Linked DNA regions of Canis lupus familiaris. The protein of the gene in region 2 interacts with the protein of the main gene of each other region in a pairwise test. Links are inferred from orthologs where the notes say so. Each region holds a gene or a part of one and is shown on either strand. Other genes may lie near its edges.

The links.
Region 1: the proteins of RAB11B (region 2) and RAB11FIP2 interact in binary tests that used the Homo sapiens proteins (3 or more experiments, as listed by UniProt). The link is inferred for Canis lupus familiaris from reciprocal best matches to the Homo sapiens genes RAB11B and RAB11FIP2.
Region 3: the proteins of RAB11B (region 2) and MYO5B interact in binary tests that used the Homo sapiens proteins (3 or more experiments, as listed by UniProt). The link is inferred for Canis lupus familiaris from reciprocal best matches to the Homo sapiens genes RAB11B and MYO5B.

The regions. Positions count from the first base shown.
Region 1 is NC_049249.1:28,754,903-28,759,100, forward strand, and holds the start of RAB11FIP2 (rab11 family-interacting protein 2), read right to left. Parts: upstream 2,861-4,198; 5' UTR 2,709-2,860; coding exon 2,356-2,708; intron 1-2,355. UniProt on the Homo sapiens protein: A Rab11 effector binding preferentially phosphatidylinositol 3,4,5-trisphosphate (PtdInsP3) and phosphatidic acid (PA) and acting in the regulation of the transport of vesicles from the endosomal recycling compartment (ERC) to the plasma membrane.
Region 2 is NC_049241.1:53,362,307-53,366,468, reverse strand, and holds the start of RAB11B (ras-related protein Rab-11B), read right to left. Parts: upstream 2,879-4,162; 5' UTR 2,260-2,878; coding exon 2,220-2,259; intron 1,536-2,219; exon of another isoform or gene 1,156-1,535; intron 803-1,155; exon of another isoform or gene 329-802; intron 1-328. UniProt on the Homo sapiens protein: The small GTPases Rab are key regulators of intracellular membrane trafficking, from the formation of transport vesicles to their fusion with membranes.
Region 3 is NC_049228.1:79,081,696-79,085,280, forward strand, and holds part of MYO5B (unconventional myosin-Vb), read left to right. Parts: intron 1-695; coding exon 696-847; intron 848-2,388; coding exon 2,389-2,478; intron 2,479-3,585. UniProt on the Homo sapiens protein: May be involved in vesicular trafficking via its association with the CART complex. The CART complex is necessary for efficient transferrin receptor recycling but not for EGFR degradation.

The DNA.
Region 1 (4,198 bases), on a different chromosome or scaffold from region 2:
CCCTCTCCTTAAAAGAAAAAAAGAAGAATGGCATTTAATTTTAAATTATAAAAATAAGTAAAATAATAGTTTTAGCCATCACACTTCTTTGCCTATCATGACACAATTGGAAGACAAGCTGTAAATACTTGTCTTCAGTGTCAAGAGTATAAAATGTCACACCCAGCAGTTTCATGGGACTTCTAAATCAGCTGGTAGCCTTCATCACTCATACTGGTTTTCTAAAAAGCACTTGGGGATATGCCGACAAGGCTCAGCACTGTGCAGAATATTAAATATCTTTCTTGCAATACACCGGTGGCCCAAGTTCATCTTGTACTGTACCACATGCACAGCTGTGCTGGAAAAGGAAGCTATTAAATATATTAAAAAACTAGAAATATTACCAATAAAGATATCTCATCAAATATGTGGTCCTCATTTATCCACAAAGAAAATGGGATTTAATAACATCTGAAAATCACTCTGCATGCAATAACATCACAAGCCCTGTTGAGAACATTTAAAAGCATTTTCCTCCTGAAAGTTCTAATCAATTTTATTTAGTAGCCAATAGAGAATTTCTGTAGGGAGACCAGGATAGGAGAGTTACTTATGGCCAAATTTATTGTAATTCGGATGTTGCCAAAGATAAGGAGTAAAGCAAGGAGGAATTTTAAAAGCTCACTTCATCCTCTGAATCTCTGGATTCACAGTTGGGCCTACTTTCGCTCGGAAAATTTAGATTTCATAGGAGGCCTGTAATAGGTCACTCATTAACATAAAAAGTACCAAAAAAGGCAGCATAACATTTGCAGTTACAATATACTAGAAAGTCTACTTTCAAAACACTTTAAATATCATAGGGTAAGTTTCATCCAAAATTGGTGATTTGAACAAACTGCTTGGTGATCATCTATCTTTCAGCTAATGAAAAACTAATGAAAAACTCCTCAGAGGAAATTTTGTAGGTAACAAATACCATTTTGTAGGTAGCAAACACTTATCAAAAATCATCAATATACATTCAATTTTACATTTTTTTAAAACTTTTCTCTCCTTTTTCTTAAAATACTGTTATCTCCTGAGTAAATATTTACCATTTTTCCTCTTGCATTCCTAGTACTTATCTGTCTATCCCTTTACCTTTCACGTACTAAATCTTACATAAAGTCCTGATTTAAAAAAAAAAAAAAGGTAATAAAAATAAAAACTCCAATCAAGAGAAGCTTGCAGGAAGATGTACAGAGAATATAGTAAGGCACACTTGTTGTAAAAATGTAATATGAAATGGACATGAACTTCAAGAAAGTTACCATTATCAAAAGTTTTCAAAAGGGCAAATAAATTTCGGTCACGTGGGAAACACCAAAGCTGCTTTGGACACTTGAAGTCCTCTTACAAACTCAACCTATATTTTTCTCTCATTAATTCCGTTAATTTCAAGGTTCTCTCAGATCAGGTTTAAGGAAGGGTGAGTATATCTGTATCTCCGAAAACATGTAATTTTCCGACTTAAGACATAACATCCAAGTGTTAATTTATATCATCCTTTTTTAAATGACAACGTATCTCTCCTGAGCTTGAAAGTCAGAGGTAAAAGGACGTGTTTGCAGTGAAGACGCCCCTGAATCACTTCATCACAAGAACTCCATCACTACCTGCAACACGCGGGCTTTACAGAACTATTTCCGAAGTAATACACGAACTCCAATAGGTTGTGAATTCACAGAAAAATGTCAGCGTGCATTCAAGGTTGCGAATGTTTGTACACACTTAAAATTTTTTTCTTTCAACAGCTCTAGACTCCATCGAGATGTACTGACCCTGAAAGATGGCTGAGCTAAAACACCGGCCAGCTTGTGTTTCTAAAGCTGAAACGAAATCCTGACCTCTAAATTTGGTAATAGACCTTTAGACAACTTCAAAATTCAACATGAGACCTTATATTGACAGATTTAATTCTCCATTTCCTGGCAAACTGTAGTGTTTAACGATCACAGCAACTCACACAAGTTTTAGGTGGTCAGCACTGTGATCAAGTCCTCTTACAAGCGGTGAAAACCATGTCAGTTTGCTTAAAATCCGGTGCAAAATACTCAATTATTTAACATGTTTACCTTAACCAGAAATGCGAGAGTAATGGATCATTACTGCCTCCATTTAAAAATATATATATATTTCTTCACAAGGGCTATGTTTTACTCCAGATTCGTGCAACCATGGTGCTTACAACTAGGTCATATTTCACTCCAAAAAAAAAAAAAAAGAGAGAGAGAGAGAGAGAGAGAGAGAATGCCCCAAATAATTTCCAAGAACAGAAAATCCGTAAATAAGATAATCTCCCCCAAATTCAAAATAAATTACATAACTTACTCTGTTTTCCTTCTTTGTTTGTCCTCAAAGATGTCATTGAGGTTGATTGCCACCTGCCCTAAAAACTTATCCAGACCCACCAGGGACCTGTGCATAACTATGAGGAAAAGGATGTATTTCTCGGGATTCCCCTGCATTAGCAATCCAGGGAGCTCAAAGGAGGCCTCCTCCTTCCAGACAGGCTCAAGGGTTTTCTCAGCTACAGAGGTGGAGTACTTTTCCTTGCCCAGCTGAATTATGGTGTATGTGTCATTGGTGCCACTTTTGCCTTTTGGCTTAAGATCTTTGGCTTGGAGCACTGTGACCTGCACGTGGGTAGGAAACCACTTTTGGGCTTGCTCGGACAGCATCATTCTGGGTCTTTGGGGGGGTTGTGGTGGTGGTGGTTTCCCTCGGCGCCCCGAGCCCCTCCCGCGGGGAGAGCCTAATTCCTGAATCACTGCATCCTCCGGGCACCCGGCGGCGGCAGGCGAGCTCACGGCTGCCCGCCGGGCCCGGGGCTCGCGGCGCGGCGCCTCGCTGGGGCGGCCCGGGGGCGCGGCTGCGCTGGGGGGGCCCTCTCCGCGGCAGGGGCCCGGGGGCCCAGCATCCCCGCCGCCCCCGGCCGAGCCGCCCGCGCCTCCGCGCCGCCCGCTGCGGGGACCGGCCCCGGGCTGCGGCGGCGGCGGCGGCGGCGGCGGCGGCGGCGGCGGGCGGCTCCCGGGCCTGCGGGCGGCTGAGGCCTGGCCGCCGGGGCCCGCGCGGAGCCGCCCCCGCCCCCGGCCCCGGCCCGCACCCCCGCCGCCTCCGCGCCTCCCGCCCGCCCGCGCTGCTCGGCGGGCCCGGCCCGGCTCCTCCTTCCGACCCCGGTAATACGAACCGCCGGCGGCTCGCGCGGCCTGGCTCCCTCTAGCAAACCTCGCCCTCCTCCTCCGCCTCCTCCGCCTCCTCCCCCTCGCCTCGGCTCCTCCTCTCGGGCGGGGGCGGGGCGGGTCGCCTGGCCGCGGAGCTGGACCGGGAGGGCAGGGACGCGGCGCCCCAGCGGCTGTCAGGGCGGCGGACGCCGGGCTCAGCCTCGCGGGGCCCGCGGCTCCCAACCCCCGGCGGGCGGCGGCGGCGGCGGCGGCGGCGGCGGCACTTCCGGGTTGGCCGCCTCCATGTTGAACTCGGGAACGCGAGGGGCGGGGCCGGCGGGGTCAGGGGTCAGCGCCTCCCTGGTTGCCGTGGCGACCGGCGGCGCGCGGCGCGAGCTCCGGGGCCCGGGGCTGGGTGCGCCTCCTCGGCGTCGCGCCCGGCGCGGGGGCCTGCAGGGGCGCTGGGCTCCCAGGACCGGGCGGGGCGGCCTGCCGCGGGGGGCGCGGGGGGAGCGCTCCTGAGGGGTGACAGCCGCAACCCGGGCCCGCCCGATCTGGGGAGGGATACCCGGGTTCGGTCTTTGGAAAGCGTGTTGGCTGCCTGCGCCCTGATGGATGCCTGGCGCCTGGCACAGAGCGGGTGGGTGTCAGATAGATGGTGGCTGGCGCGGCGCATCGGCCCTCTTCATTGACCGAAAGCACCCTTTTCCCCAACCCCTTACCCACTCTTCTCTAATTCACTGGGAAGACGTCCTCCACCTCCAATGGAAGAAGAGGGGGAAAGCAGATGGAAGGTTCCAGAACCACACAGGAATCAATAAAGATCGGGAGAGACACTGGGGCTAGAGTCAGAAGAGCTGATCCCCGCCCGCCCCCCCCCCCCCCATGTCTGCCATCATCAGCCTGTGTGACCTTGGACAAGTCTTCGCCCCTCCCCGAGCCTCAGCTTCCTCGGGGGCTAGGACACCCCCTGGGCGCTCACTGTGTAGACTATCCACCTTTTGAAGCCG
Region 2 (4,162 bases):
TTCAAGAGAAATATGCACAGATAGCACGGAGACCGCCAACAAGACATACGTGTAAACAGGAGGTCTCAGATGACGGCAGTCTGGGAAACACGGCCCTTGCGGGCTCGACTTTCACTCCTAACCCTGCCTGAGAAGGTCAGCAGGACACCTGCTGACTGAGAAAAGGAGGCTAGTGGGGGAGGGCAGCAGGGCAGGCAGCTCCTAACCCCCCCCCCCCCCCACTGTGCCAGTTGCTGCCACTGAAGCCAGATCTGTGCTTCCAGGAAGTGGACTCTGGAGATGAGTCCCAGGAAGCACACAGCCGCTCCATTGCCCCTGACCCAGTAACTGTACTTCTGGGAACATACTTCAAGGAAATAACACAAAGGGCAAAAAGATGACTAGTGTTGGGTTATTTATAACAGGAGGCGGCTGAAAATAACAAGGGGGAAATGGCCATAGAAAGCTGGAGGTGACTACTGGGGGAAATGCCTCTGGCCCTGGCAGTCCACATTCAGGGGGGTACCCAACCGGGACCTGGGGAACGGCCGCCTCTGGCCCCAGCTGCAGCAAGATGGAGTCCTGGCCACTTGTGGCCAGTCCCCAAAGCCCGGGCAGAGCTTCCCCTGGCTCTCATGTGATACCCCAGAGTGCTGTGGGCATCGGGGCCCTGGCCTGATACCTGCTGACCACACAGCTTCACCTGCCAGTGACATATGAGCCTGCATGCAGCTCCCCAGGCCCATGATGCTGCGTGACAACTCTGGGCCTCTGCGTAGACACTCCGCCAGCCCAGAAGCCTTTCACCACATGGACATCCCAGGTAGGGAGCGCGCCACCCCACTCTCCACATCCCCAAGGCCCCCAGGCTTCCAGCCCCAGCATGCGGGAGGACACTACAGACACGATGGTCACTGATGGACATGGACTGCGCTCCCAGGGACAGTCAGGTTTCCCCAGTGAAGGGACGGTGCCAACAGCTGGTGTGAGAGCAGACCCTCACACTGCAGGCAGCAGGGCAAAGGTGCCTCAAGCGGGCCTAGGGTTAGCTCTCATGGGCAACCACTGTCAGTCAGGGAGCCCAGAACAGACCGCCCGGGACCTGGCCAAAGCCCAGGTTGGCACAGGAGGCACTGTGAGGTCAGTGACTTTTTTTTTCTTTTTTCTTTTTTTTAGATTTTATTTTGAAGTAATCTCTACACGCAAACTGGGGCTTGAACTTGCAACCCAGAGATCAAGAATTGCATGCTCTGCAGACTGAACCGGCCGGGCGCCCCCAAAGCCTGTGACTCAAGTCAGGCCACAACCCCAGCGATGGGAGGAGTCTCCCCAGCTCCAGCCGCAGGGTGAGGGAGCTGGGCCAGCAGCAGTTGCCTGACCTGCCACAGCCGCACTGGAGGTTCCTAGAGCCCTCTGTCCCTTGGGCAGGGACTATCCTGCAGCAGGTTGGCCGAAGCCCGGCCCATGGGGACGCAGGTGCGGGGGGAGGTGGTCTGCCAGGCTAAAGCCCACAGCTGACCTGGGTTCAAATCCTGCTCCAACATTTTTCAAATGTGCCCTGTCTCTCTGGGTCTCAGTTTCCGGATCCACAGAGAAAAGAAGGTGGCTATTATCTCCTGAGCCCAGCACACACACTCCTCCCCCCACGCCAGGCGCCCCTCCGCACAGTTCTGGGTCAGCCCCCAATCCAGGGTCCCCCCCATCACACATCTCAGCCCCTCGCGTCCTCTCGCTCTCCGGGCCCCGCCCCCAGGCGAGCTGCCACCAATCAGGACAGGCTCCTCCCACTCTGCGAGAGCCCCACCCCCGCGCGCCCAGTCCCAGCCCACTTCTTGGACACGCCCTCCGCCCCTTAGCCACGCCTCCTGAGGCCCCGCCCCCAGCACGGAGGCCGCTTGTTACCCAGCCCGGCCCGCCAAATGCTGGGGAGGCCCCGCCCCCCAGAGGCTCCGCCCCTAACGGCCTCTCCCACCGCTTGGGGCCCCACCCCCTCCGGGCCCCGGCCCCGCCTCGGCGCATCCAGGGCCCCCAGGCCTCCCTAGGCCGCCCGCTCCGCACGGCCGCGCACTCCAGCCCAAAGCTGGCCGAGCCCAAACTGCCCCGGCCTTCCCGGCTGCCTAACCGCCGGGCCCCAAGACTCGGGCTCCGGCCTGGGCCCAGCGGCCTGGAGCGCAGCCTCAGCCCGCCCGCCCGCTGCCTCGCCGCCATCCCCTCGCCCGTCTGTGTCCCACCGACCGCACCTTTGAATAGGTAGTCGTACTCGTCGTCCCGGGTCCCCATTGTCCTGGCGCTTCCGGCGGGATCGGCGACTCCGCAGCCCCACCACAAACACCCGACGGGGGCGGAGCCGGCGCCGCACAGAGCGGCGGCTGAATCACCAATCAGAGGCGGGTGGCGTAGCGACGGGCACCCAGGGCAGCCAATCACAGGCGGAAGCAGAGCCTCAGGGGTGGGCGCCGCCTGGGACCCACCCTCCTCGCCTTCGGTCTCCTGGAGAAAGGCGGAAGGAATGCGGACCTTTCTGAAGTGACGGCCGCGTCAGCCTATCAGAGGTGGACTCTAGAAGGCGGGGCGGAAGACTGCAAGAATGAAACAGATTGATGGCACGGGGAACCAATGAGAGGCTTGATTCAGGCGGTCCGGGAGTACCAGAGGACCTGTCCGGGAAGGGAAATGGGGCTACGTCCAGGTGATGTTACGCTATTTAACGTCCCGATGACGTCATAGGTTAATGGGCGCTGCTCTGCTTTCCCCCTTCGCCGCCTCCTCCCCTCACCCACATTAAAAGACCGTTTACAGGCCTTTGGGGGGGTTGGGTTTTCATCACTATATTTGAGTCATTAAGATACCCCTCTACCTCAATTTCCCCCGCTGCAGGATAGGAGAAACTAAACTTGATGAAATTTTTGGAGGCAAACTGGATTATCTCCCTAAAGACAAACCAAATCAACTTTCTGCTCTCTGTCATTAAGTCTTTTTTTTTTTTTTTTTTTTTTAAGATTTTATTTATTCACGAGAGACACAGAGAGAGAGGCAGAGACACAGGGAGACGGAGAAGCAGGCTCCATGCAGGGAGCCCGACGCGGGACTCGATTCCGGGACTCCAGGATCACACCCTGGGCTGAAGGCAGGCACCAAACCACTGAGCCACCCAGGGATTCCCTGTCATTAAGTATTTAACAAATATTTATAAAGCCCTTTCTGCACGTTAGGCCTCTGCAGCACGATGCCCCCCTTCTCTATCCCCTTGCCCTGTTTTATCCCATCTCCCGCCCCGGAGGATTTATCACTACCTGACCGACTGTATGTTTGTGGGGGCACCTGCCTGGCTCACTTGGTGGAGCAAGCGACCCTTGACCTCCGGGCCATGAGTTCTGGCCCCACTTGGGCCCAGAGCGTATTTAAAAAAAAAAAAAAAAATGTGCTTCTTTCTTGACCCATTCATGTCTTTAGTGCCCTGCCAACAGAACACGAGACCCATGAAGGCAAGAAGGACACTGTCTGTCACTGCTGGTGCTGTGACCCCAGCGCTCAGCAACTATTTGATGGGTGATGAATAATGTAATCACTTTAACTATAATTGTAATTATTATAATTGCCTCGTGGACCTCACCCCTGTGTTTTCCAACAGGCATCCCAGACACTAATTTGGCCTCTTTTCCAGCATCCACTCCTCCTCCTGTGACTCCATGTCCCCCACACTACCCTCCACCTCTGTTCCCCCCACTGACCATCTCAGGGCCAGAGGTCATGGACTCCTCTCTCTTCAGCTTTTAGCCTCCTGCTTTTCCTGCCCTTCTTTCCTTCAGTTGTCTTGCTGTGTTCCTCCTCCATCCTACATTTCTGATCACTACTCACCCCCCATCCCCACCACCTCAGTCCTGGCCCCATCATCACTCCCTGGACCTGAGCTGTTGTCTATCCCCAGATCTCCCTGCCCTGCCCTCACCCCACACAGTATGCTCTTTCCATTGCGGTCAGTCTTTTTTTTTTTTTAATAAAGTAAGCTCTATGCCCAACGGGGACTCAAACTCACCACCCCAAGATCCAGAGTCACGCACTCTACAAACTGAGAGGGTCAAGGGCCTCAATCAGAGGAGTCTTTTGTTTATTTATTTATTTATTTAAAAGATTTTATTTTATTTTATTCATGAGAGACACAGAGAGAGGCAGAGACACAGGC
Region 3 (3,585 bases), on a different chromosome or scaffold from region 2:
AAGTGTGTGGGAAACAGGACTCAGAGAGCAGTAGGACAGCCCAGGACAGGATACACTGCTGGCAGGCTGGACGGGGCTCAGGCGTCATGCCCTGGCACTAGAGGCCACAGAGAGGGGCTCTGGACACTCCTCGGCCATCCTGGCTTGCCGCTGGCTCCAACCATGTCTGGGCTGCAGCTGCCAGGTAAATAGCCTCCAAGCGGATTGCTAAGTGGCCCCTGCCCGGGCCCTGGCACATGGGGTCTGTGTGGGAGTACGCGGTTTGCCAAGCTCTCCAGGGGCCTGCCCTTGTGGCTGCGGCAGGAAGTGGTGTCCGCTCGGAGCCCCCTCTGGCTGGTGGGTGAGCTGGCCTCTCGGCGCCCAGGGCAATGTCCCCTGAGTGGAGACCTGAGTGGTGAGCCACCTGTGGGCTCGTTTCCTTCATATCATCAGGACCAGGCATGAGGAGCAAGTTTCTCTAGTCCAGGCAGCCAGGAATGTGCTTTGGTTAGTTTGGAGTATTTAATTAGTTTGTGAAACAGGGTCAGAAGGTGTCCCACTTGGGCCTGACTCCTCCCACCCCAGCCCTCCCCCAGCCCCCATGGGAGGTTATTCTTAGGTGAGCTTCAGGGAAATATGGAAAATCTCTGTACTTCAGTCTCCTCAGAGCCCCAAGCACCTGCTATCATCTAATTCTCACTGCTTGTTGCTGTTAGACCTGAAGCCGCAGATGCTGACGGGCTCAGTGCCCTGCCTCCCTGCTTACATCCTCTATATGTGCATCCGGCACGCCGACTACATCAACGACGACCTCAAGGTGCACTCCTTGCTGACCTCCACCATCAATGGCATTAAGAGAGTCCTGAAGGTAGGGGTCCCAGGCCCGGGGGTGGTGCTTGGCAGCCGGTGTAGGGAAGCCTGCAGCTTCCCCAGCCTTGCCCTGCCCAGGCCACCCTCAGCCCTGAAGGTGACGGACAGGAACGCAGAAGCAGCTTGCCGATGGAAGTGGGCAGTTTCCAGAGAAAGGATGCTCAATCTTAGAAAGGACCCCCAAATCCACTATTGCCATCCCACCGCCTGCAGGGGCCCTGCGACTTTAAAAAGCCATGACCAGAGGTGGAGGAGGATGGTCCGCCTGATTCAGGGGCAGGCTGACCCCACAAGCTGAATACAGGCCTTGTCCCAGACCTTCCCAAGGAATTGGGTGCCTGCTCCCCAGGCAGGTGGTGGCACAGGAAGGGTGCATATGCTTATCAGTCTCCAGAGTGAGGGGGCCCAGGCCAGGACAAGGCTGCTTCCAGGGCACAGAGGGATCCCAGGTGGTGGCAGCCGCTGCAGTAAGAGGCTGGTCAGGGTGCCGAGGCTCAACTGTGCAGGAGCTATGCTGAGCGGTGAGGCCTCAGTAAGAGCGATGGTCCTTCCCCACAGGCCCAAGCCCCAGGCAGCCCTGCCCTGGTTCTCACACACACACTGCCACTCTGGGATGCATGTCATCTTCAAAAGTGCGGAGTCCAGATGCTGAGACCCACTGAGCCTCTGTCACCTGCATCCCCTTTCCCTTCTGGGAGTGAGCGAGCTCCAGCTCATAGCTTTGAGCTTCATGCCAGCCTGGTGTTAGTAACTGTACCTCTGGCTCGGCTTGGCCCGGCTGGGCCTTGCCCTGCACCACAGAGGCAATCTTATCCACACTTGGCACTAAACAAACATGCTGGCGACACTCAGATCTGGGTCCCCTGCCTTGACCCCTAGCACGGGCTCTGCCCGGGAGCTTGTACCAGTCTGAGTGAGTTGAGGGCTGGCTTCAGGCCATTGCCTCAGGGGAAGCTTTCCTAACCACTGGGCTCCGCTAGCTGTGCCCAGCCCTAACAGTCGCTTCCTGTCCGACTCCCTTGTTTTATTGTCCTCAAAGCTCCCACCTCTGACATTAGGCAGGGATGGTTTTAGCTGACAAGGTGAGCTCGGTTCAGTCATTGACCCTAGGATAGGAAACTATCCTGGCTCTTGGGTTTTCATCCAGGTATGGTTTATAGTCCTTTTCCAGAGGGTTGAAACCATTGGGTATCTGATCGCTCAATAAATATTTCACTGGCATGCTCCGTCCATCCCTTAGGTTGGATCACGAATAGTTCGGAGCAGGGCCAGCGGCCTCGTGGTCAACACACAGCCCAGGCTGCACAGCTGCGTCCCGGTGACGAGGGGACCCAGGGAGGGGTCTCTGCGCCATGCTTGGTAGTGAAGGGATGGGACTGCCACCCCTTGACCAGGATCTCCTCTTGGGGACCGGCCATTGTCGTGTCTGCTGGGAGCATGCTCAGTAACTTTGGAAACCTGGAAAGAGAAGCCCCAGGTGAGCATTTTACCAGACAGCGGAGCCCTGCTGCTAATGGGGGTTGTCCTTTTCTTTCACAGAAGCACAATGAGGACTTTGAGATGACCTCATTCTGGTTATCCAACACCTGCCGCCTCCTTCATTGCTTGAAGCAGTATAGTGGGGATGAGGTGAGTGCTAAGACAAGCCCAGCCCCTAAAGGGCACCTGAGAACCACCAAAGTACCCCCAAAGCCTCACTTCCTGGGCCATAGCGATGTGCGTCCTGCTTCAGGGCACCTCAAATCTCAGCTCAGAAGGGGGCTGGGGGTATCGTGGGAGGCAGTCCTCTATCCAAATATGCCCCCACCCTGAGAGGATGTACGGTCTTTGGGGTGCCCTCTGGGACCTCGGGCTCTGAGCATACCTTCCTCTGTCTACCTGGTAGCTCAAAGCAGGAGCAGAGAGGGCACAGGATACCTGTCTGCTAGGTGGCCTCAAGGACCCTGCAGCCCCAGAAAGCACCCTGAATCAAATGAGGTGGGGAAATGAGCTTATATGACCCATCCATTATCCGAGAGCCACTGGGACTCTCCAGGGAGACCCTTGTGACCTGACCTCTCTGGAGCAGCCCCCTTTCAGCGAGCACTGGAAGGAAGCTCAGTGAGTTGTCAGATGTGTGACATGATCTCCTCAGCCAACCAAGTAGTTAATCCATCTGAAGGCGGACACGGAGAAGAGGCACAACACAATCAAACTACATCTGTGCACCTTGACCTTAAGGCCCAGCTTCCCGCTTCTAACCAAACTTGATTCCTTGACCTGCTGCCCTCCTGGGTACATTATGTCATCCTCTACTCTGGACTCCGAGGGCCCAGCTTCGTCTGGAGCCCACATTCCCCCACTCTGGCCCCTGAAGGAACGGTGCCCATGCTCTGCATTCAGCCCAGCAGCTTGGTAACACAGGGCATGTCTTCACTCTGGTCTTTCTATTAAGAATCCCAGTTCATCCCAGACACCACTGCCAGGCCCCTGGGGGTTGCCTCAACCTCCCTTTCCCCCCTTACACTTTCACTTATATTAAGAATAATGTATCAAGAGACCTGAGACCCAGAGCACACTATAGCCAGATCCATGTAGTCTAAACAAAGAGGGAAAATATATATATATCTTGTCTGTCACAGTGATTTTTTTTCTTTTACCTGCCTTTTGGTTTTTATTTAAAAAACTGCTGTGTAATATGAGTTGGCAGGAGAGGCTTTGCTGGGGATGGTCACCCTTTTGAAGACGCTGAGCTTC